Linked DNA regions of Mus musculus: regions 1 and 2 are each reported to be linked to region 3. Evidence: microRNA targets listed by miRTarBase, many of them from high-throughput screens and not tested one by one. Region 3 holds a microRNA gene; each other region holds the end of a gene's coding sequence.
The links. Region 3 holds the annotated microRNA mmu-miR-466f (ACGUGUGUGUGCAUGUGCAUGU, at 2,849-2,870, shown strand). A microRNA usually pairs through its seed, bases 2 to 8, with sites in the 3' UTR of a target mRNA and lowers its output. Matches are read on the target gene's strand: a 7mer-m8 pairs with bases 2 to 8, a 7mer-A1 pairs with bases 2 to 7 and ends in A, and an 8mer does both.

Region 1 (7,799 bases), not on the chromosome of region 3:
CAGAGGGCCCAGTCCCATGCATGCTCCCTGGTTTGTGGTTCAGTCTCTGTGAGCCCCTATGGGCCCAGGTTACTTGATTCTGTGGGTTTTCTTGTGGTATCCTTGACTCCTCTGGCTCCTGCAATCCTCCCTCCCCCTCGTCTGCAGGATTCCCCAAACCCTGTAAGGTGGGACAACAATGGTCACAAAGTGTCTCAGGTCTTCTAGAAACCTGAGGCCTTCTGCCTTCTGTATCCATGTTCGGTGATACACGGTCCCAAAGGACATGTCTTTCAGTCCCCAGTCTGGAGCACAGAGTTGTGCGGACTAAATGAAGCAAACACTCTGTAAAGGTTACCGTTCCTTGTCAACCCTATTTAGGATCTAGGACCTCTCCAGAAACACACGTGTGGCTATGTCTACTGGGGCATTTCCAGAAAGGTTTAGCTGAAGAAGGATTTGGCCTGAATGTGAGTGAAATCCCAAACTGAATAAAAGGAAGGAAGCCGCCTGAGTATTTGGTCGTGAGAATTTTGGTTTCTTTTCTTCTTTTTTTTTTTTTTTTTTAACACGGAAGTGTTATAGGAATATGTTTTTGTTTTAATTCCAGGTGTAGGATATGGGACTAGTTTAAATTATGCACAGAAGCTGACTATAACTTTCCTCGTGCTGTAGCAGGAGCATGACTTTGCCAGCTGCAGATCGTTTCAGCAAGTATATGACAGTTGGAATTTTAGAGACTCTTGAAAGAGCGTATAAATGCTAGATGGGCCCCGCTCAGGGCAGCTGCTTGTGGTGCCTGCTGCTGGCAGCTGTTGTTCTGGTTTGTTGCAGTTTGTCGAGTGATCAGGTACAAAGAGAGAAGAAGAACTTGGATATCCTGACAGCAGAGATCAAACCTGCCCTGAGCAACTCCAAGACCCTAATGAGCAGGAAGTGGTCTAATGATATCGACCCCGCCCCCTTTCCTCTCTAGCCTTCCTTCTATCCTACCTAGCATTTGGGAGGGTTTGGAAGAGTGAAATAGGATTGGAGAAGGGTGGAAGAAAAAAGAACCCACAAAGTAGCCAAAAAAGCTGGTTGCAGTATCTCTCCTTCCCACTGGGGACACAATGTGACAGAAGCCGCCTCATGTTCCTATCTTCCCTTCTGTGGTGCCATGTGTCCTCGGACTGTCATGCAAAACAGTTCCTTCGTTTCTCATCTTGTTTATGTCAGGAATCTTATCCCATCAAGGAGACAAACAACTAAAACACACCTGAAAAGCCCTGCACCGGGTCATACCCACGTGGACTCAACCTTAGCGTGCCACCTTAATGTTCTGTAATTCTTAGGTTTCTTACCATCAGTGAATTCACCCACTTAAGAGTTCTGTTCAAATAAAATAATAGCAATGATAAGACCAACATCAGAAAGAATTTAGCTTCTAAGTGGGACGGACTCAAGTGTTGACATGCTACATACAGAATTCCAGGAGAGCTCAGATCCCAGTCAAACCCCCAAGCTCTCCAGAATGTATCCTCCCCACCAATAGCTCCTGAGGCTAGAATTATTGCGGGGGGGGGGGGGGGTCACCAAGCACTTGCCCCTTTCACAACTTGCTGGCAGCCGCAAAGGTGTCCTACATACATTCCCAGTCATCCTGAAAGCTGTCCCCAAGTTCTCTCAATTGAAGAATGAAATCTTCCCCAACAATGAGAGCCTTGCCTTCCTCCCAGACTCAGAAGCCAAAAGTTTCCCAGCCTTTACAGGCCTTAAACACCATTTGGAAGGTCTTGACTGCCACCTTGTGGCCAGTAAGTACACATGCCCACAGTGAGCAAGATCAAACAGAGCAAGCAAATGCTCAATTCAGCTGGGGGTTTTTAGGCTAAGAATAATGACTTCATCTTTTGAGGTGCCTAGAGGGAAGTGGCCCTTGAGTGTTCTGGCGACATCTCATGCTTGAGGGAGGTTGAAATGTTTTGTTTTTAGTGGTGGTTTTTTGAGACAAGGGTCTCATGTAGCTCAGACTGGCCTCAACGTCAGTATCTGAAGCTGACCGTAAAGTTGAGCCCAATGTCTGAACGCTGGAATTATAGGTGTGCATCACTACACCTGAGACAAACTCTTTACCAACAGAATTATGTCCCTAGCCTAACCCCCGGAAGTTGTTTTAAATGATTGGTTTCGCTCCAGGACAATTGTGACGGTCACCATCATTAGCATGCCTAGATACAGAATAACAATAGAAACACCCCTATGTCTCTGATGGTGTTTCTAGGAAGGTCTCACTGAGCTAAGAAGACCATTCCACGCTGCCCACTTGGGCCCTGGGCTGAGGAGAGAGGAGAGAGCAAGCTGAGTCCAGTCCTCATTCTGTGGGCTTCCGAACTGCGGGTGCAATGTGACAGCTGCCTCAGACCCCTACTGCCATGACTCTTCCACCATGATGGACTGGATCCTTGAACTCTAGGCCAAAATTAATCTTTGCCACTTCCTTCCTTAAGTTGCCTTTGTAGGGTATCTTGACGCCGTAATGAGGAAAGTGACTAAACTGCAGCAATCACGCCTGAGCTGACAGACAGGCTTCCAGTTGAAAAACATTTTTTCTATTTTCCCTGTGTTCAAAGAAAACTGCTTGGTAATTGTAAGAAACCTAAGAACATCTTTCCCTGTGCTCTGTGGTCTCCATTAACTTTCCCCTCCCTCCCTCCCTCCATACCTACTCTTAAGCATCCCTAGTAAAATCTCTTCACAAAGAACCCCCTCCATCCACCTCTCTGTGGCCTGCTGGGTGGCTTTGGGTACATTTCTTACCCTCTCTGTTTAAACTTATAGGAGAATTATCTTTTTGACTTTAGAAATATTGTAGGAATGGGGAGTTAACTGATAATACTCAACAGAACCCAAGTATGGCCACCAACCTTGAAATAATTACTCTCTAAAATAAGAACTGTCCTTACCCTTAACAATCTATAGCTTGAAGTTCATGGTGTTATCTGTGTTACTTTTTAAAAATAAGAAAGAGAGAGAGAGAGAGAGAGAGAGAGAGAGAGAGAGAGAGAGAGAGGAAGGAAGGAAGGAAGGAAGGAAGGAAGGAAGGAAGGAAGGAAGGAAAAAAGAGAAGAAAGAAAAGGAAGGAAAGGAAGGGAAGGGAAGAGAGAGACAAAATCTGCATGCAATGAAGACTCTAAACTCAAACTTCTAGTTGGCCAGAAACTGATGGGAGAATGGAACCAGCCCAAGCACTGCCCTCTCCTGGCTGTGGATATTGTGCACTGTGTCTTGCCTTCTCCCTGCAGACAGGCTCTCAGCCTCCAGGTTGTAGGGGATGCTGGTGGATTCTAGCAGCCTGTTCTCCTGAAAACTGCCCCCATCTGGAGAGTTGCCCTGGTCAAGGTTCCCTATTCCCCCTTCTATGGCTCCAACATGGATGGTTGTACCGCCCATATCCATTGGGACTTCTCTGAAAGATCGTACGTACCACAGTGCCCCTAAAGATGTCTCTCTACTAAACTCCAGGTGATGCTTTCCCCTGCCCCCTTTGGACCTCGTGCTTCTTCAACTATGATTATGAGAATCCTCCCACAATAAACCATCAGCTTGCAACCCTTCATTCTAGAATCTGTTATCCCAAGAACTCAGCCTAAGACATCTGTCTGCTACCTGCTCTCAGTCTAACAACATGAGTTACACTGTCCAAGGGAAAGCCAGGTCCTTACTCCTTTGTATAGATCCATTCGGTGATCTATGCCTCATCAGAATGAAAAGACAAGAGCTTTGCTGTCTACATGTGGCATTATCCTTTATGGAACTTCTGTCTCTCCTCTATCATATCAGCTACAATGGTTGGTCCTCAAACTCAACACATAGGCTCTGCCTGGAGACTTTCGCATTTGCCCTTCTCCAGTTTGGGTATGCTCTTTGTCAGACCATCTTCCTACCTCCATCCCTCACTCCTTGTAGCCTTCTAGACTCAACTGTCACCTCCTCCATGAGAACCCTATACTTAAGCCTGCAGGTCTCCACTGACATCTAGACCCCACACCCTTTCCTTACCCTGGCTTTCTCCTCGGCAGTACCAGGGTCTGGAACACTGTGTTTTCCCATATCCATGTTGCTCAGTGCCCATCTTTACTACCAAAACCTAAGTTCCCTGAAACTAAGCTGTCTTCCCAGAGGCCACTGAGAGTAACTGGTACATAGCAGCAGCTGGCTCCGCATTGATTGCAGGAGCAATCAAAGAATCTGTGTTGGATTGCAAGGCCTGAAACCTTCAGGGCATCACTTAAAGGTGTCTCATTTACTTTAGCCTTGGCAGTCCTGGAACTCACTCTGTAGACCAGGCTGGCCTCAAACTCACAGTGAGTTTCCTGCTTCAGCCTCCTAAGTGCTGGGATCAAAAGCATTCACCACCACCACCACGCTTCTAATGTTTTATTTTTGTTGTATGTGCATTAGTGTTTTGTTTGTATGTATGTCTGTGTGAGGACGTCGGACCCCCTGGAATTGGAATTCCAGATAGTTGTGAGCTGCTCTGTGGGTGCAAGGAGTCAAACCTGAATCCTCTGGAAGAGCATCCTGTGCTTTAACCACTGGGCTATCTCTCCAGCCCCTGACTTTCTCACGAAAGCCATTGTCCTATTATCTTGGTGAAGTTTGTGCAGGGCCACATTTGTGGAAGCATCAGATAATACAACTACTAAATAAATGTGAGGTATAATTTTTGATTACACTGAATCCTTCATCAGTGAGCTAATTTTTTTTAATTATGCGCAAGCCACCAGATTATTTTTAAAGCAGGAATGTGACATTCAAACACAGAAAATCCTGAAGATGTTCAGATATGTAAATGAAATATAGAAAACTTTATTCCAAAGCTACACCCAAAATGTACAGTGAAATGCATCTCCTTACAGACTTAATAAAAAAGGGCCATATCTACATTTTAGATTTTACAACAATCTGCAGATCTTCTGCTCCCACCAAAAGTCTGATAAAAAAGTTAATCCCATTAATTAAAATTTTAAATGACTGTCTTTATATAAAGTATATTCTAATTGCAAAATATTCAAATACGGTTTCAGTATGAAAGTGTCCTCAGTTTCTGGAATCCTCGGTAGTCTGTGAACACATAGGTCCCTGTGCAGCTTGAAATGAGGTAAAAGGAAGGTTTTCCAGACACAGTCTCAGATGTTTGTCCTCGATGTCCGGGGCAACATGATCCTTCCACTCCCTCCCCTTCCTGTGGGACAGCCCCTTCTTCCCCTGCCTACCTAATATCCTGCACCCGGAACAGCAGCAAACCTGTCATTTAACAATTCCTCATGTTACAATGTTTTCCAAAGAATTTTTTTGACCCAAAGGGAAGTCCTGCCTATAGAGGGCCACTATTTCCTTGAAAGGTATTTTAATAAATAAAGTCTACAACTCTTTTAACAATTCCTGAAAGGAAAAGAGAGCAAACCTCCGAGGAGCTGTTAGTCACCAATATTTTATTTTGTAGGTCGCTTCTCTAAAATTTAAAAAATGAAGTCCTTGGCTGCGATTTGCTAAGTGCATTGTAAAAAAATTAAAAGTAGCTTCTAAATGAGATGCCGCAGATGTTAATAAGACACAAGCATCACACTGTACAATAGAACAAACCCATGGTTTCTGACTGTTGAGCTATGTGCTTAGCAGTAAGAAACAAAGGCAGTCCAGGGGAAGCCTGCTGCTGGGCATCCTGTTTGCTCAGTGCCACTTTCTTGGGGCTTTTGTTTTGATTGGATAATTCACAGGTCTACCGTGTTTTTAATGGCCTTATTTTAAAAATCAAAAAACAAATAAACAGGGAAAGTGTCTTCTCTTCATGTGGCTACTTGGCAGTGTTTTACAGAGACTAGGGTTACTTCCATTCTGCCAGAGGTAGATACACACAGCCGTGTGTGCTCACAAACACTGGCCTGATGGAAACTAAGACTTCATGCCAAGTCAGCATGAAGGGTCTTCACGGCTGAAGCGTCAGTGGAGATGGTACTACAGAATGTTCTGACAGGCTCTTATCAACACTGCCATTACATTTGGGGAGAACATGATTGAAATGAGATATAGAAACAAAATTAATAAATACAACAGCATGATCTTTGTCAGGCTCTTGATGCACGGAATCTGGAGTTGACTAATTACTGGTCTATAACGTAGTCCTATAGTTTGGTCCTGAGAATCACAGACTTAGACGTGTGTGTGTGTGTGTGTGTGTGTGTGTGTGTGTGTGTGTGGTGTTGCTAGGGATTAAACCCAGAGGCCCATACATGCAAGGCCAGCATTCTACACTAAGCCATGTGCCCAGACCCTACAACCATATTTATGAACATACAATGGCAAATAACAACAGTTCTGAGTTTATCCAAATAGATGAGTTTATCCAAATAGATGAAGCCATGACACTCTGGAATCAAGATCACATTACAGTTAACAAACACATATATCAAGTCTGAAGCCACCGATGTTGACAACTTTGCATCCCCACAGGAGAGCTCTGCCACACCAATGGGCATCTGCCCACCTTTGAACTATAAAAGTAACCTTTTTCAGTGCAAAAATACCTTTGATAAATAGCAAAGACACAATAAACACATGGAAGACTTAGCATCTCCTGGAGGTGTGCTTTCATATACAAAAAGTAACTCTGTAGACAGGCATGGTGGGGCACACCTGTAAGGTGAGCACTCAGTTGGCTCAGGCAAGAGGATCACTAGTTCAAGGTCAGCCTGAGCTATATTCAGAAGTAAAACGTCATGTTTCCTCTTACAGTAGGATATGACAGGCTGTTCTGCTCCTCTGATTGTGAGTCTATGGCTGTGAGAGGGTGTCAACACTCTTGGAAACAACCTCAACACTTCTATAGCTCATCATGTTTCTTCTTAAATGGCCACTGTGGGTGCTGCAGTACATGCTCTGCAGCCTGAAGGACAAGGTACATGAATTCTTCTACATCAAAAGAGTAGTTGGTAAACTTCGGGTGTTCTCCCAGAGTTGGATGGTGACCCTGCAGAAACAAACCAGAACAAAATCCCGGAGTCACCGAAGGGTGTGTCTTTCTATAGACGTAAAATCATTTTCCTTTGGCTAACGCAACTGTTTCAACTTATGCCGTACAACATGGGCTGGCAAGCTTTTCCCACAGAGCTCCCAATGATAGTTTCAGCTCTGCCAACCATCTGCTCTCAGTCATAGATGCCCTGCCAAGGAGATGCATAATCAAGCCCAGACAATATGCAGGCAAATGTGGCGGTACCCAATAAAACTTTATTTACAAAAACAATTCGTAGGCCAGATCTGTACCATTAGAGCTACTGTTTGCTGATGGCTGCTGTATGTAAACTGATGTAAGCTGTTTTAACAACATTGAGATTTTTCTCTAACTTGCAAATAAAAAATATTAGTATTCAAGAGACGAACAGAGGCTCAGTGATGGCTTGCATTTTAATAACTGGACTCCAAACCATTTGGTGAATGTTACCTTATCCTGAGGAAATACTTTGCTGGGCTTCCGCCAGGTGATGTAGTGGATGCCTCTGAGCCTGGCCAGGTCTAAGTAGCAGCGCTCATCTTCACAGTTGTACCTAAGGACACAAGGGTGTCACACATGATGTGAGGCCTTTGACCAGGAGGTTCCCTAGTGCGTAATGTTCTATGGCGGAAAACATCCACTTCCCAAATGTGGTCTTACTAAAGGTTTTGTAAATAACAAACAGGAGAGAAAGAATTTTACACACATTCTCAGGGTGCACTGTGGTCATGCTGGGCTAGCATGCATAAGGCCCTGGGTTTGAGTACAGCGCAAAAAAATGAGT
Region 2 (7,799 bases), not on the chromosome of region 3:
CTATTGCACCCTATATAAGCAGATTCCCCCAATCATAAGGAATGTTTTCCAACAAGGTGGAAAAACTGAAGGAGCTAGAAGTTAGAATCATTTTGCAGGTGTTATTTGGAATAGCAGCAACTTGGGAAAGCATGACAATGGAGGTTTGTCCAGTGCTTGCTAAGTTCTCAAAGGGAGCTATACATCAAGGCAAAGAAAATTGAACGTAATTGCTTTACGTAAAATAGGTTTGGGAAGAATGATTTGTTTTTCCACTTGATTCCTTTGGTAAATGAGGTGTTTGGCAGAGAATAATCATATTCACATGTGACAGTTGTGGAGATTTTCTTCGAAGATCAAACCTGTCACTTTGTATAATAGTGTATGACTTACTCAGGATATTTCTACAAAGGTGTAGGATCGTTTGATAAAAGTGTAACACTGCTTACTATTGGAACTTTTCAAACTGTTTGGTATTAAGTACATTTTGAAGGCACGTTTCTTTTGAATGAGATGAACCAATATTTAGGTGATGAGCAAAAATTTTGGCATTATATAGATAATACCTTAAAAATGGCCCACCATTGGAACCTCCCATAGACTATCCCAGCAGTGTGTCTGTTTAATGATTTAATTAGCCCACTGTCACAGAGGGTCTGAAATTCAGAGTGAAGAATATCTTGGATTATTAGTCCATATATAGAAGTGGAATAAAAACTTGTGTCAGGTCTCCTGACACGTTGTTCAATAGCCCTTCAGTATTTCTTACTGACTCTTGTTTTGTTTTCTATTTCAGTTGAAATATTGAGCAGCAGAGTTACAGAGTATCAGAATCTCTCAACAAGAAACTCCGTGTGGCCTTTCTATATGTATTCTCGTATGTCTTCTTGTACCAACACGACAATAAGCATGGTGCAGTCAATATACTAAAGCGCATATACCTGTTGACAAATTCAAATTTTAAAAATCTGTGGAGATGTTAAAGCAAATAGAAAATTAACCAGTATGTGTTACCTTATACGGATTCATTGTATATGAATTAGCATACAATATACAACCATACAGGTTTGTCATGTATATGAATTATCAGATCCATATTACATGAATTTTCCATATGATATGAATTACCATATTGAATATAACTGTAAAATGTTGTGACTGCTTTCCAGTAATGGTTTATAATAAATGAACTTCCACAGTGTACTGTAGGCTTACTGTATACTCTTGGTGGATAAATTCTGTTTTGGAAGTGTTACCTTACTGTTTTGTTTACAAGATAGTCTATAGGATTGATGTAGAATGTAACTGATATTTCCCACACCATTTTCCTCCATTGGTATATTGTATTAAATTGGGTTCTGCTTAGCTCTTTCATGCTATAGTGTTTTCTTGTTTATACGTGATATTTGATTTCAATTAAAGCATCATAAGTGGTGAACAGAACTATATGTGACTGAAAAATGTGACAGGTTCATGGTAATATGCCCTCTTTAAAACATTTCTGCAAGTTTCCGGAGGCCTCACTTCTGAGTGTGCACAAAATCTCTTCATATATAGAATTTTACCTGTAGATCTGACCTTGCATAGTCAATAATATACTAAATTTTTAAAAGAGAAAAAAACTTCCCTACATGTGATAGGAAAGTTCAAATGTTAACCTCAAACCATTCCTCTTAAATAATTTGAGAATCAAGTGTTCACATTCCAATAAATTTCTTAGCATGTATAAAAATTACGGAGAGTAGCCATTACATTTATTGTGTTACAGGAATCCTATCTCTCAGCTTGAGTGTCTAAATTTGAGCCATTTGTCATCTTCAGCTGAGAAACTGGTACTAACTACTTTAAAGGTATACTAATCACAGGCTGAAAATCAAGCAGAGAGATGTGGGCGTGGAGACAGTTTTTATGTACTGGAAGAAAGTGTGTAAACCCTTTGCATTGTAACCTTTTGCACAAATGCTGTTTTCCAAATGCAAATGGCTCGTGCTCTTTTGACTATTCTTTGAATAATAAGTAAGATGCAGTCTGGCAAAAGTCAGGCCAGGTGAAAGAAAATTGTTTCCAAATGAGGCCTTGCCTCCCCAAATGGACCATCTTTTCTATTGATCACAGAAGGAGGCTGAGTACAGGTTTAGAGAAATGGCAGGAATGGGGGCAGGGAGAGATTTAAAATGACTGGGAATGTGCAAAAGAACTAGAAAAGGTTTCCGAAGTTGTCTTTCGGTTTAGTTTAATTTAGTTGAGTTTCCAGTTTTTGTAAAGGCAGCAGTGAATTAGCAAGCATTTGTGCTACTGTATGGACAAGGGTTTCTCTGCCAAAACTTTAACATCAGAGGGTTGGCTGTGGGGGGGGGAGATGATGATTTGTTCAGTTTTGTCTCAGAACCAAACCTATTTTTGTCACATCTGAACTTACTTGCCTTTGTGTGTGTTTCAAAATTAGTTTTAACATCCTTTGGTTAATAGAGAATAGCAATAGCCCCATGGAGGTGTGATATGAATTCTTCTTAACTAATACTTAGGAAATAAGCTACAAATATGGTAATCCATCTATTTCTGTGACATATAGTGTACTTCTTCTACTTAGCACTACTATTGTTATAAGAGGGAGGAAATGTATTTTCCAAAAGCCTAAGTAAATTGAATATTTTATACTCAGTATATATTCTCCCACCAGAAAGCATAAAATCAAATTTTTGTACATATAACAGTTGTTTTTCTTCATGAAAATCGGGAGGAAAGAGAGACTGTCCAGGATATCATAAGACAGGTAGTTGGATTGATTTGCCAAACAGTGACATTGGCAAAGACTTTATTGCCTTTTCTACGGTTGGTAAAACAGAGAGCCAGACTGTGTGACTTGCCTCAGGCTGGCTGCCTAGCCATTGTGGGAACCAATTGCTCTCCCTCTTTACATCTTTCTTTGGAACATTTGAGACTCCTATGCAAAGCAGATCAGATCGGCTCAGCATTTTAAAAAAGCAAAACTACCTCTGGTGGATGGTATCTCATTGATCTTAATTATCCAGGTGAATCCTGGTTACCAGTGATTGCTAAATACTCTTGTTTTTATATTGGACCTCCGCCCTTTGTTGACTATTGCCTGGAGCTAAGAGATTGAGAGTTGTCTGTCCTTTTACCTGTGGGCTCTTTGAACCACTATATTTCTGTTTTCTAACATCGCAATTCCAGGAAGAATCTACCTGAGCTAGTCTAGATGTAGTTATTAATGGATATGGAAATGTTTTGTGCAAAATAAACTTTTTGTAGTTTGACACTTTGGTGCAACATACTATCTGGTTTAACTTCTTAAAATTTTGATCAAGATATATGTAGATGATAAACTTAGAGTAGAGTTGTTCTCTTGTTGCTCTAAGCACTGGAAGATATTAATGTTGACTTATATTTAGGAGGAGATTCAGTGGGGAACATTCAGGGTAGTTGTCTTTTTGGTGCGATGAGTTTAATATAAGTGTTAGCATTTTAAAAGTTGCAATGTACATGAAGCTTAAGAAAGCAAGCTCAAAACTCGAACATTTTGATCAAATTTGATGGAGTTTTGAGGGAAATGAAACTTTAAGCTGGCACTCTAGTTGTGCAGTGACTAATGATCTTATTGAAGAAAAGACAAGTCATTTGACTATAAATTGAGTTAACCAGACCAGTCACAACCAATCAGTGACTCTAAATGAAAATTTACCCAAGTATTTGTATATAAACCAAATTCTAATCAGATGTGATTTCTAGTTAGCATTTTTTAGTTTTTGTGTTTTGCCATGGCCTCTATTTTTATTTCTCCAAAATTATTGGCTTTGTCCATCTCAGCCTTTTGCCAAAATTTGCAAGAACACTGAAACTTGGATAAAATGTGTCAAACCTACAAATAAGCAATCTAAATTTGTCATTTAAGAAGAGCTTAGTTTCAGTTTTTGCAAAAAACCATGAGACCGTAATGAGTAGGAACTAGAATGAAATTGAATGGATTCGTACAACTGCTATTTAAATACAGTGTTTACTTTTGAAATTGGAGCATGAATCCACACCTAGCTATTGCTTTTCATTTGACTTTTCTAGATAAATTTTCAGTTTTCATCTATTCATGAAAGCAGTCTGCTTGCTATTCCATCAGTCTTGCTCTGCCGTTCATCTCTGAGCATCCTAAAACACTGTGATCTTGCCATAAGTGTTGTCCTATGCCACTCGACTGTGTCCACTCATGGGACCCTCAACTCTCCTGCTCTCAACTCTCAGCAGGAACCAAATTAACTTAGTATTTTGTGCTTGGGTTCACTTTAACAGCATAAGGAGTGAGACAGTGCTGTTTGGAGGACGAACAGCAGCTACAGTACATTGTAGGAAGGGAAAGAGGCAGCTGAGGCGCTCATGAGCTCCTCGGAATGCCAGGTGATTCTCTTCCTTGTCTTTGGTGAGTGTTGGTAAGGAGGCCCCTAGACAAAATGCAGCCAAGGTTGTCGAAGATCTGGCGGTCTGTGGGATAGGCTGTGGCATGCAGAAGGCTTACTAACAAAGTTCTCGCTCCACCTTTAAAAAAAAAAAAGAAAGCTCTTCTACATTTCACTGAAATGGAAATGAGTAAAATTGGGGGGAGGGGTGTCTGATTCGGTTTGATTCATTTGATGGATTTGATTCCAAGTTTTGATTTGTAGATTTAATAAGATAGTGGCCTAATTTTACCGGAGTCTGTTAGAGATAGTAGAATAAAATAGCAAATAAGAGAGTTTAGCTTTTTTTTTTGAAAGTTTAGTAGATAGTCTAATCAAACTATAAACTGTAAATGTGATTATAAATACAGGCTCTGAGTACCAAGTTACTAATTGGTGCCATGTTTTCGTTTTTCTTATTGTTAGTTTTTAAAGTTTTAATTGTACTACATTTTTATATCTAAGTATCCAATGAGTTTAATTTTGAAGGAGAGTTGGAGAAGGTTTAAGGTTTTACCACTTCTATTCAGACCATCTCTGTAGGCTCTAAACTGAGACCATAGCGTAATTCAGCATAGATACAGTCCAGAACTACCCTCTACAATCCACAGTTCAAGAACAAATTTAGCGTTGTACACAAATGATAGATGTCAGCTAAATATATTTAGTTGTTGCCTTGGCAACAAAACTACAACATGGCTACCTTTAGACATTTATGCATGTAAAACTTTTATGTGTAAGCTATATGTGGTTCATGACAGTGCAAACATATTGAAGATACAGCTCAAAACTCAGAAAACTGATGATGTTTTTGAAGCCCTGTGTTCCATATATGAAAGCTGAATTTGTGTCCTCATGTTAACATTTGATTCGAAAAAGAAGTTTATAACACATGGATTCTAGAATTGGGCTTTATCGTTTAAAGAATTGGTTGGGTTGATAGGGTTATTCTACAGTAGAACAAGCTCGACATTGATATTGCCTGGCCTTTTTTTCACAACTTTATTCAAAACTACCTATTCGTGTAGTATCTGTAGTTATAAAAAGATTATATTTTCTGGCTTTATTCACAAAAACTATATGTGAGGATTAAAGCATAAGTAAACATGTTGAGATTAACCCATGGTTGTGAAGCCACACATAAAGATACTATAGAAGAGCCCCTGAACAGTGTTTAAGAGACATATGCTGCAGTTCCCCGACTGTCCCAGTTAGGGTGCGAATGTGTGAGACCCATCTTTTTTTTTTTTTTTTTTTTTTTTTGCACTTATGTACATAGTCCATGAAAGCAATCCTTGGAGCTTTTGACAATGTAAGAAGTCTGTGGTAATAGAGGAGCATTAGTGAGAGTGCTGTTTGAGGCTCTAAGAATTAGTGGAAGCATAGTGTAGCAGTACTGTTGAGGGGGCTTGCTAGCTGGCTACAGCCCACCAGAAGCTCAGACTGCTAACACATGCCAGATCCCCCTAACAGCACTGAGTGAGAATACAAAGCACTTCTTTTCGTAAGGCTACTAGCAAAAGTTATTTGCTTTTTGAATTAACTCCCACTGTAAAAACACACACACACGCACACACACACACACACACACACACACACACACACACACACGAATGCTTATACTACATAATGGATAAGGTTCCCAGTAGAGATTTTCTTTTTTCCAATTATAGAAAGAAGAGAAACTACTCTGTACATTACAAGCTAGTTAGTTACTCTCAAATCTAATTAAAACAGATCTCATCCTTCGTAGTTTAAAATTATATCAGTTAATGTGGATTTAAGTGAAAAATTGTTAATGTTTTAACTAAACAGAAGTGAAGCAGCCCAAATCTTATAGAAGATGGACCCTGGAAAATGATGTCAATTTAACCTACTCTGCCAGTTCTCACTCCACATTTGCAGATAGCCAAGGAGCCTTCTTGTTGTTCTCCAAGGCACTGAGGCTTAGCAAAGTTGGAAGTTTGAAAGGTTAAGGGACAGATCATCTCTGGCACTTTGAATCCTTCCCATCTTAAGACAGATGTCTTTCACACTAAGGACCCCATCCTAGGCTAAGGGTAGTTGTGAAATGTTGCTTTTCATACACTGCTAACTCTCTTGGAGGCATATAACTAGATCTGCACCCATAGGTCATTAGTACAGCACTTGCCTGGATGAACAAGGCCCTGGGTTCCATCCCCAGGACTGCAAAAGGAAAAAAGGGGGAAGAAAGAGAGAGAAAGATGGAAAACAGACCAAAGCTACAAACAACCCAAGCCTTACATGTATCCCGTAGCTCAGGGCCAGTTGGCTAAAAATTATTTAATTTTCCCTTCAGCTTCTGATCACTAAGTCAGTTTGTTGTATGGCTATACAACAAACGCCCTGACAATCTGAGCAGCTGTTTTTAGCCAATAGAAGATGGAAGCATATATTCATTTTATAGTTAAGAATGCCCACTTCAGCCTTACTACCCCCATAATTTCACTACTTCACCAGCATCCTTACGTGGACGTTTCCTTGTGAATCTCTAAGTCATAAGAATGCATCTTCATAAGGACAATAGAAAGATGAAATTTTGTGTATGGTGCTGAGAATACAGCCCAGGGCTTTGTGTGCTATGCAAATGCTCTAACACCCTGGTTAGCCAGTGATAAGATTTTAAGTCCAGAGCTATCAACCATAAATTAGTAGGGATGAGCCTTGAAGCATCACAAAAGATAGCCAATGAATTTATAACATGTACATGCCCACCACCACTTGGTCCCATGCTGAAGCTTAAACATAGTGACTGTATTTCAATCATTCAAACAAAGGAGAGGATTAAGTATAACGAGTGCATGTGATTCAAGCTAAAAGATAAATTGGGATTTAAGTTTGACAAACTTAGCATTTCTAGCCCTTCTGCCTTGCCTATAAGTGAATTACCCACTGGAATTGAAAATCTAGATTATCCCAAAGAAAATGTATGTGTATAGAGAACCCTTCCTCAATCATAAAAGATGAAAAGTGCTTTGGTCTGAAATAAGTTGCCACTCCGTATAGATACTTCAAGAATCCTCACTAGCCCTCTTTTACATTGTGTTACTTTAAAAAAAAATACCTCTGTAGCAAGACCTAGAAGAATTAAGTGAGCTTTTTCTCCCACACATGTACAACCTTAAGACTCTGCCATAGAACTGCATGGTTGCAAAGCTTTATTTCTGTATACAGATGCTATCTGTTAATGATGGAAACCAAATTGTTGTCTTGCCGTGTCTTTTGTGTCTAGCAGTTGAGTGGATGATATGACCATCATTTCATTAGATGCTGGGGATAACCTCAAAATAAGTTTCTTATTATTATCATAACTGTTAGTTCGGTTACAAAATGAGCCATTTGCTCCCAAATTAC
Region 3 (7,799 bases):
TTGTAGTGAAGAATCTATTGCCAGAGCAAAAGGTCCCTGAACTGTTCAAACATCTTGAAAACACTCGGGTTCTAGAACACAGAAATCATGATGGTGCTTTAGATATGATCTGTTCTAAATCCAGACAGTTTTATAAGCTGGGATGCTTTGCTTTCCTCTATGTGCATGTGTGAGAGAACGTATTCCCTCCAACTCCTAGAAGGTGTATGTTTGTCTTGTAGGATGTGGCAGAGTATGTTCATGCATAGGGCACATAAATATTAATATTGAGTTGAGAGAAGGCAGTGAAGGGGAGAGCACACCCCAGTGAGAAGCCTGCTCCGGCTCTAACCAGCTGTGTAATCGCCCAGAGATGCTCAGCTCCTGAGAGCTTCCGCTTTCTCAAGTGCAAAATTTGGAAATTAGGCTTAGGACTTTGCAAACTCCTTCTCCGGGTCACAGGCCACGGGTGCCTTGAAGTTAGATCCTTCACAGAGCAGTTGCACCACGCCGGGACAGCCTCCTCCCACCCTGCAGTTTAAATTGAGAGAGATCCCTGGATCTTTTCCTTCTGAGTCAGCTGGGAAGAGAGAAAAATAACGTGGAGAACCCTGTGGTTTCGGGAGGTAATTGTGACAATTTCACGGGCTGTTTGGGAGCAATCGTTTGGTTTCCCTGGTGCTTCAGAACATTTGGGGGCTTTCCTAACGTGCCTGCTTTCTTTTTCGTCCTCAGAGTGGCTCGATGCTCTAATACTCGAATTTAGAAGACAGATGAACAATGAAATAAGCGAGACGGCACTGCTTCCTTCATGAACTGTAAATGAGGAAAGAGTGAACGCTGTAATTGTGACTTGGGTTCCTCTGGATTACACTAGCTCCTCTTCCTCTCGTGATGTCCAGCTGCCCTGCAGCGCCTGGGAATTTACTTAAAACATGCATTCAAAATCTTTATTAAAATACATTCAGCAACACAAAATCAAACGGCTCATTTCTCTTCTTGCCTCTCCCCCCTACTGTAAAGCTAAATTGGACCGCGGCCAAGGTCTCTAAAAAGCACTGTGGCTTTTAGGGAAATCATTTTTCCTTTGTGAGCAGCGGGGAATTTCACAGACCCCTTTGCTGGCCTCAGCGAAGGGGAAACAGTGTCCGTGCTTCCGAAGGCGGACGCTAGGTGGCAGCCGAAGACAGCCTTTGCCCCGTTGGTGCACCGCAGCTGCCAGGGTGCGAGGCAAACATTCTTTAACAGTTGGAACCAATAAAAATCAGCTTTTCCTCTTAATTACTGCTAAGTGAATACCTTCTGATACAGCAGTCAGATGGCAAAGCTGATTACGGAGCAGGCAACTTGCGCTTGAGAGCTAGAAGTCTCTAGAGTGAAGTTCCCTTAAAACCCTTCTCATACCTGAACCGTGAACAGCATTGCTGAAGTCGGGGGAATCCCAACTTCAAAGACAGAACAGTGGATCTGACCTCCTGAGTAACCTCCTTAAACCTGAGATTTATTTAAGGGGAGTGGTAACAGGAAAAAATAAAATAAAATAAAATTAAAACAATCCAGATGCGCTGCAAGTCCTTCCTCTGGAGAACGTTGGCCTTAAGTTTTCTGTGTTTTTATTTTTCTTTGGGTAGGGTCGGTGGGGAGACAGGGGCCTTTTGTAGTCTTGGACTCTATATGAATTTGAGACAGTCTCTGCCACCTGAGACTTGTCCCTAAAACACAAACTAAAATGCGGATAGTGCCTTCCTCCTTATTAAACACATCACTCCAGGCAAAACCCAGGCAGCCCCAACAACACAGCTATTGTGCCAATGGGCAGAACCATGTCTCGAGCAGCGAGCAGGGGCATTTCCCCAGTATCGAGCAGTCCTCGTAGCTTCTGATAAATTATGCCCATCACTCAAAGGTAACAAAAAAAACCTTCATGCAGACGGGAGGGTCATGGAAATCTAAGGACAAATAAACACTTCAGGAAGGGTCTGGGGTAGACAGAGATCTCAACGGGACTTGAAAAATAAGTCTCAGTGAGCCCTTGTCTTCCCATTGCTGTAAAGAGACACCACGGCCAAGGCAACCCTTTTAAAGGACATTTAATTGGGGCTGGCTTACAGGTTTAGAGCTTCAGTCCATTATCATCGCAGCAGGAAGCATGGCAGCATCCAGAGAGGCATGGCGCTGGAGAAGGAACATACCTTATTCTGAAGGATGCTAGAAGACCAGTCTTCCAGGCAGCTAGGAGGAGTGACTCAAAGCCCACCCACACAGTGACACACTTCCTCCAACAAGGCCACGCCTGCTCCAACAAGGGCACATCTCCTAATAGTGCTACTCCTCGGGTCAAGCATACTCAAACCATCACAGGCCTCCTTAACAGAAAATGTGCAAAGTATGTCCTGTTCAATGCTAGGTTTTGATTGACATACATCCTCATTTCTGAGACTGGGCCTAATAAACAAACGTATGATCCAATCACATTACGTGCTAAGTCCTCTCCCTCAGCTCCTGATGTTTTCCAGGGGGAATGCAGGGTGTTTACAGCTACTGAAGTAGAGTTGCAACATCTTGTTACAACTAATTAAATAAGCATCCTGTTTCTCTAACTCCTGTTGCTCAGAGCCCTCATTTTGATATTTTATATCCATCCACGTTTGAACAGTAAATGCCCACCCATGTCCTCATGGCCAAGTGCAAGATTCTGTTTGCCAGTGCCCATGAAGCTGTGGTTAACATTGTGTGTGTGTAGGTGTGTCTGTCATCCTGTTTATCTGTGTGTGTGTATGTATCTCTGTATCTGTTCATCCATGTATGTGTGTATCTGTGTATGTGAGTGTATCTGTATGTGAGTGTGTGCATCTGCATCTGTGTGTCTACGTGTGTGTGCATGTGCATGTGTGTGTATCTGTATGTGAGTGTGTGCATGCATGTGTGTGCATCTATATCTGTGTGTCTACTTGTGTGTGAATGTGCATATGTGTATGTATGTGAGTGTGTGTTTCTGTATGTGAGTGTATGTGCATGTGTCGGCATGTGTATGTATATGGGTATATTTCTGTATGTTGTATGCACATGTGCATGTGTGTATCTGTGTATGTGCATGTATGTGTGCATGTGTGTATCCCTGTATGTGACTGTGTGTGTGCATGCGTGTGTGTGCATGTGATCGTGTGTGTGTGTGTGTGTGTGCGTGTGTGTGTGTGTGTGTGTGTGTGTGTGTGTGAGTGTCTCCATGTATTTGTAAATGGGTATAGGTCAGACCCTGGGTGTCTTCCTCTGTCTCTTTCTATTTGTTTTTATGAATTGGAGTCTCAGAGAACCTGCTCTTCACCCATATCAAGACTGGCTGACAGGAGGCCCCAGCATCGCTCCTCCCAGTACCACTCAGAGCTAATGTTACAGATGGGCCGCCATGCCTGACTTCTGAATGGTGCTGGAGATCACAACATTGGTCCTCAGACTCGAGGACACTCACTTTCCCAACTGAGCCATCGCCCCAGCCCCTGACTTGTAATTTTTACATCGCATTTTAATCTAGACCTATATCATAAAGTATCTGACACTTCCTTCTAGTTTTATATTTCATTGTTATATTGGGCCCCAGTGGGTCAATTTTCGCAAGTTCTTTCAGGTACAGTTTGAAGCTGTTTTATTGAACCCTGTTGTTGACAGATGAGCCTGACATGCCTACCCTGTCTTTGCTGCCCTATCAAAAATCAGCTGTAGGCGTGTGTGTCTGTGAATGCGTCTCTCATGAGCACACAGCGACTGTACAGAGCGAGAGGTTTCATTATAGCTTTCGCTCATGTGACACAAAGCGCTGTGGCACACCCACCCTCTTCTGGGTTTGTTTCTCGCACTCTCTTCCGCTTACACATTCACAGGGTTTTCCTCTCCTGCTTCACATCCGTTTGTTACTCCTGTTATGTGCACATGTGCACATACAAAAAGACAGAGAGCCTGTCTGTGATGACTGGCTTGTTTCACTTAGCGTTGCTATGATCTCCACCTTTAGACATTTTCCTGCAGACATCCTGACTGCATGCTACATGATTGAGTGAAACTCCACTGAGTCTTTTCTGTAGCCTCATCTGTTGATGGATGCCTGGATTGGCCGCATGAGTCAGCGATTGCCCATGCAGGTATGTGTGGTAGGCTGATCTTCACTCGTTGGCTGTATGCCCAGAAGGGCACAGCAGGATCACATGAACGACAAACTCTTACTTCCACTGAGTTCATAGTGGCTGCTCCAGCTCATGACCCCACCAGTTCTTTACCAGCATTTGCCTGCTTTTCCCTTAGAGCAGAACCGCGGCTCTCAATTTTCCTAACAACTGCGACCCTTTAGTACATGTCCTCATGATGTGGTGGCCCCCAACCGTAACATTATTTTTGTAGCTACTTCGTAATTGTAACTTTGCTATTGTTATGAATCATAATACATATATCTGATATGCAGGATGTTGGCTACGCAACCCCTGTAAAGGGTCGTTGGACCCCCACAGGGTTGTGATCTCCAGGTTGAGAACTGCCGCTGCTTTAGTAGTTGTGAGTGATCGTTTCATCCGAGGGATCCCACTGGCTAGTTCTTGCTCCTGTTTGGAGTCCTGTTTAGAGTCGTTGTTCATTCCTGGACTCTGGAGTATTCCCTGTTTTACTTTAGGAGTTTAGGTGTTTCCGGTCATACACTGGGGTGGGGTGGGTTTGTACAGGGTGAGAGAGCAGAGCCTTCTGTGTGTGAAGACGGACATCTCCACACTACTTGTTGAGGAGGCTGAATTTCCCTGTTTACTTTTGGATATTTGTGAAGAATCAGATGGTTGTAGCTGTGTGATTGGGAATCTGGAGCTGCAATTCTATCCTGTTGGTCTCTCTTTGTATGCTGGTATCATGCTGTTGTTAATGTTTTGGCCTTGTAATGATTTCTTTTCTCTTCTCTTCTCTTCTCTTCTCTTCTCTTCTCTTCTCTTCTCTTCTCTTCTCTTCTTTCCTTTTCTTTTCTCTTCTTTTCTCTTCTTTTCTTTTCATTTTTCTTTTTGGTAATTTTATTTAATCATTTATTTATTTACACTCTAGATTTTTTTCCCCTCCCAGTCCACCTTCTGACTTTTCCACATCCCATACCTCCTCCCAGGCTTCCTGTCCCCATCTTCCCAAACCCCCACCCCACCAGATCTCTAAACCCCAAGGAGCCTCCAGTCTCTTGAGGGTTAGGTGCATCTTCTCTGACTAAACACAGACCCGACAGTTCTCTACTGTATATGTGTTGGGGGCCTCAGATCAGCTGGTGTATACTGCCTGGTTGGTGGTCCAGTGTTTGAGAGATCTCGGGGGTCTAGGTTAATTGAGACTGCTGGCCCTCCTACAGGTCGCCCTCCTCCTCAGCTTCTTCCAGCTTTTTCCTAATCCATCCAGCCACGGGGGTCAGCAGCTTCTGTCCAATGATTGGGTGCAAATATCTGCATCTGACTCTTTTAGCTGCTTCTTGGGTCTTTTGGAGGACAGTCATGATAGGTCCTTTCTTGTGAGCCTCAGAAATAGTGTCAGGCCTTGGGGACTCCCCTTGAGCTGGATCCCACTTTGGGCCTGTCGCTGGACCTTCTTTTCCTCAGGCTCCTCTACAGGACATCTCAGTCCCACTTGGGAGGGAAATGAAAGCAATCACAAAGAGGGAGGGACCTGGGAGGGAAAGCGGACAGGGGTGGGGGGAACCTGACCTGGTATTGAGTGGGCAAAAAGAACTGAAGTCTTGAGGCCCAGCAGAAAGAATGGAAATAGGCAACTTCGGGATGTAGAAAGTTGGGGGGACCCTTCACAATGCACCAGAGACCTGGGAGGTGAGAGACCCTCAGAACTCAAAGGGAGGGATCTTAGATAAAATGACCTACAGTAGGGAGAGGGAACTTATAGAGCCCGCCTCCAGCAGAAAGACAGGACATCAAGTGAGGGATGGGGTTGCCATCCCACAGTCACAACTCTGACCCATAATTGTAATCACTTTTGTCATCTCTTCCTTTTGCTTAGCATTGATCTGGGTAATCAAGGTGTTTTGTATTTTCGTATGACTTTTGGGATAATGTCGTCATAGGGATTTTGATGGAGATTATTGTGGTTCTGCGTGTCCATCTAGAACTCTTTTCTTGACGTTTTCCCATTTTCATAATACTTCAGCCCTAAAGTTCTACTCCAGGAACAGTATACAGGCGAGGTTATATTGTTTATCTGATTTACTAAATTCTTAATGTAGTTTTGATGCTCTTTTGTGTCTCATAAGGATTTAAAACACAGTGTGTCAGTTTCTGCCAGAAACATCTGCTGAGGTCTCTGGACCATTTTGCAAAGCAATGGCATTATCATGATGCTAAGCCTCCCACCCCCATGTAACGTGAGCGTCTATGGTTTCAAGTCTCTGCAAGTTCTCACAAAAGTCACGCGCGTTCCAGGGTCCAGTTTCTGCACGTTGTTTTCATGTCTATAAATGGTATTTTTATAAATGGTTTTGGTATTTGATTTTTAAAATTCAGATTATTCATTTATAGTGGATAGAAACACAATTAGTTTTTTTGTCATTTGTTTATTACAAAATTCCCTAGTTTCCGATTTTGGAAGTTTCTACCAGAGTTTCTGCGTAATAGTTTCATTTAAAATAAAAATAATTTGCTATTGTTCTCCTATTTTTGGTGATTTATGTTGCTGGATGGTATTGACCAAAATCTCTCAATGTAGGAGGAGGGAGCAGACCACAGTGGAGCGACTCTGAAGGCAGGGGAGCACGTTGTTGCTCTTCCGAGGGGTGAGAGTTTGATTCCCTGCACAAACATAAGGCAGGGGGCTACCACCTGTAACCTCAGCTCCAGGGGTCTGATACCCTGGAGCACACACACACACACACACACACACACGCAAACAAAGTGGATTTTTTTCAAATATTCATAGCTTTTTCTAATCTTGGAGGACACAATAAGTTGATTATTATTAAATAGGGTAATAATTAGCTATAGACGTTTAATCGGTTTTTTTTATGTGTATATGTGTGTGCTTGTTTATGTGTGTACCAAGTCCACACAGTTGCCCGAGGATCCACAACAGTGGGTTAGTTCTCCTGGAGTTGGTATTGCAAATCACTGTGTACTGCTTGGTGTGGTTGCCGGGAACCGAACTCAGGCCCTCTGTAAGAGCAGTCCGTGCTCTTAACCATTGAACCACCTATCCAGCTCCATGTTGTCACAAGCTTTTAGGAGCAGATTTTTATGTATGTTTTTAATTCTCCATTGCTGAGAGTATTGTACCTGCATTGCTGGGTGTACATGTACCGCATCACAGTCACCCTTTGTCCCTCAGTGAGTGTGACTCTGAATCCCAATATACTCTATTGGGGAAACCACCACATCACACAGAGTTCCCTTACACATTCCTTCCCAACCTCCCTTTCCCTGAGCTTCCTGAACGCTATCCCACTGAGTCACCACCAGCTAGCTTCCACTCTGGGGGAGTTCTGCGACCTGATGTTGCTGGCAGTCTTTCTCTTCTCACTCCTGATGAGGTTTGCTAAGTCACTCATCTGGTTCTAGCAGCTGGCTAAGCTCACCTGTGTTCCCAGCACATGCACAGAAAAGAAGCAGAGGCAGGTCTGAGGACTCCCTGCGCACAGATAGCCTGGCAGAGCACAATAGTGGTGTAAATACTGCTTGACTGGGTAGAAGAACAAGACATCGTGTAAGATAGCTCTTGTCAATGTGCATTCAAAACATGAACCTCCTCTACCTAAGGTGCATCTGTGGCAGCCTGTCTCCACCCGTGTCCTAGAATTTTGACTGGCTTGATCT

Region 1: miRTarBase lists Eogt as a target of mmu-miR-466f. Seed matches in the 3' UTR shown: 7mer-m8 at 6,180-6,186 and 7mer-m8 at 5,884-5,890.
Region 2: miRTarBase lists Mbnl3 as a target of mmu-miR-466f. Seed matches in the 3' UTR shown: 7mer-m8 at 5,988-5,994 and 8mer at 6,030-6,037.

The regions. Positions count from the first base shown.
Region 1 is chr6:97,105,216-97,113,014 of GRCm38, forward strand. It overlaps Eogt (EGF domain-specific O-linked N-acetylglucosamine (GlcNAc) transferase), which reads right to left. Exons shown (of 18, transcript NM_175313.5): 17 at 7,466-7,568; 18 at 4,809-6,991. The coding sequence ends at 6,845. Among named protein-coding and RNA genes, the nearest start is that of Eogt, 40 kb to the right of the region's middle.
Region 2 is chrX:51,113,995-51,121,793 of GRCm38, reverse strand. It overlaps Mbnl3 (muscleblind like splicing factor 3), which reads left to right. Exons shown (of 8, transcript NM_134163.5): 8 at 776-7,799. The coding sequence ends at 787. Among named protein-coding and RNA genes, the nearest start is that of Mbnl3, 88 kb to the left of the region's middle.
Region 3 is chr13:71,104,260-71,112,058 of GRCm38, forward strand. Mir466f-4 (microRNA 466f-4) reads left to right here and starts at 2,830; the gene lies at 2,830-2,950. It overlaps Gm40997 (a long non-coding RNA gene), which reads right to left and starts at 2,168. Exons shown (of 3, transcript XR_873655.1): 1 at 2,089-2,168.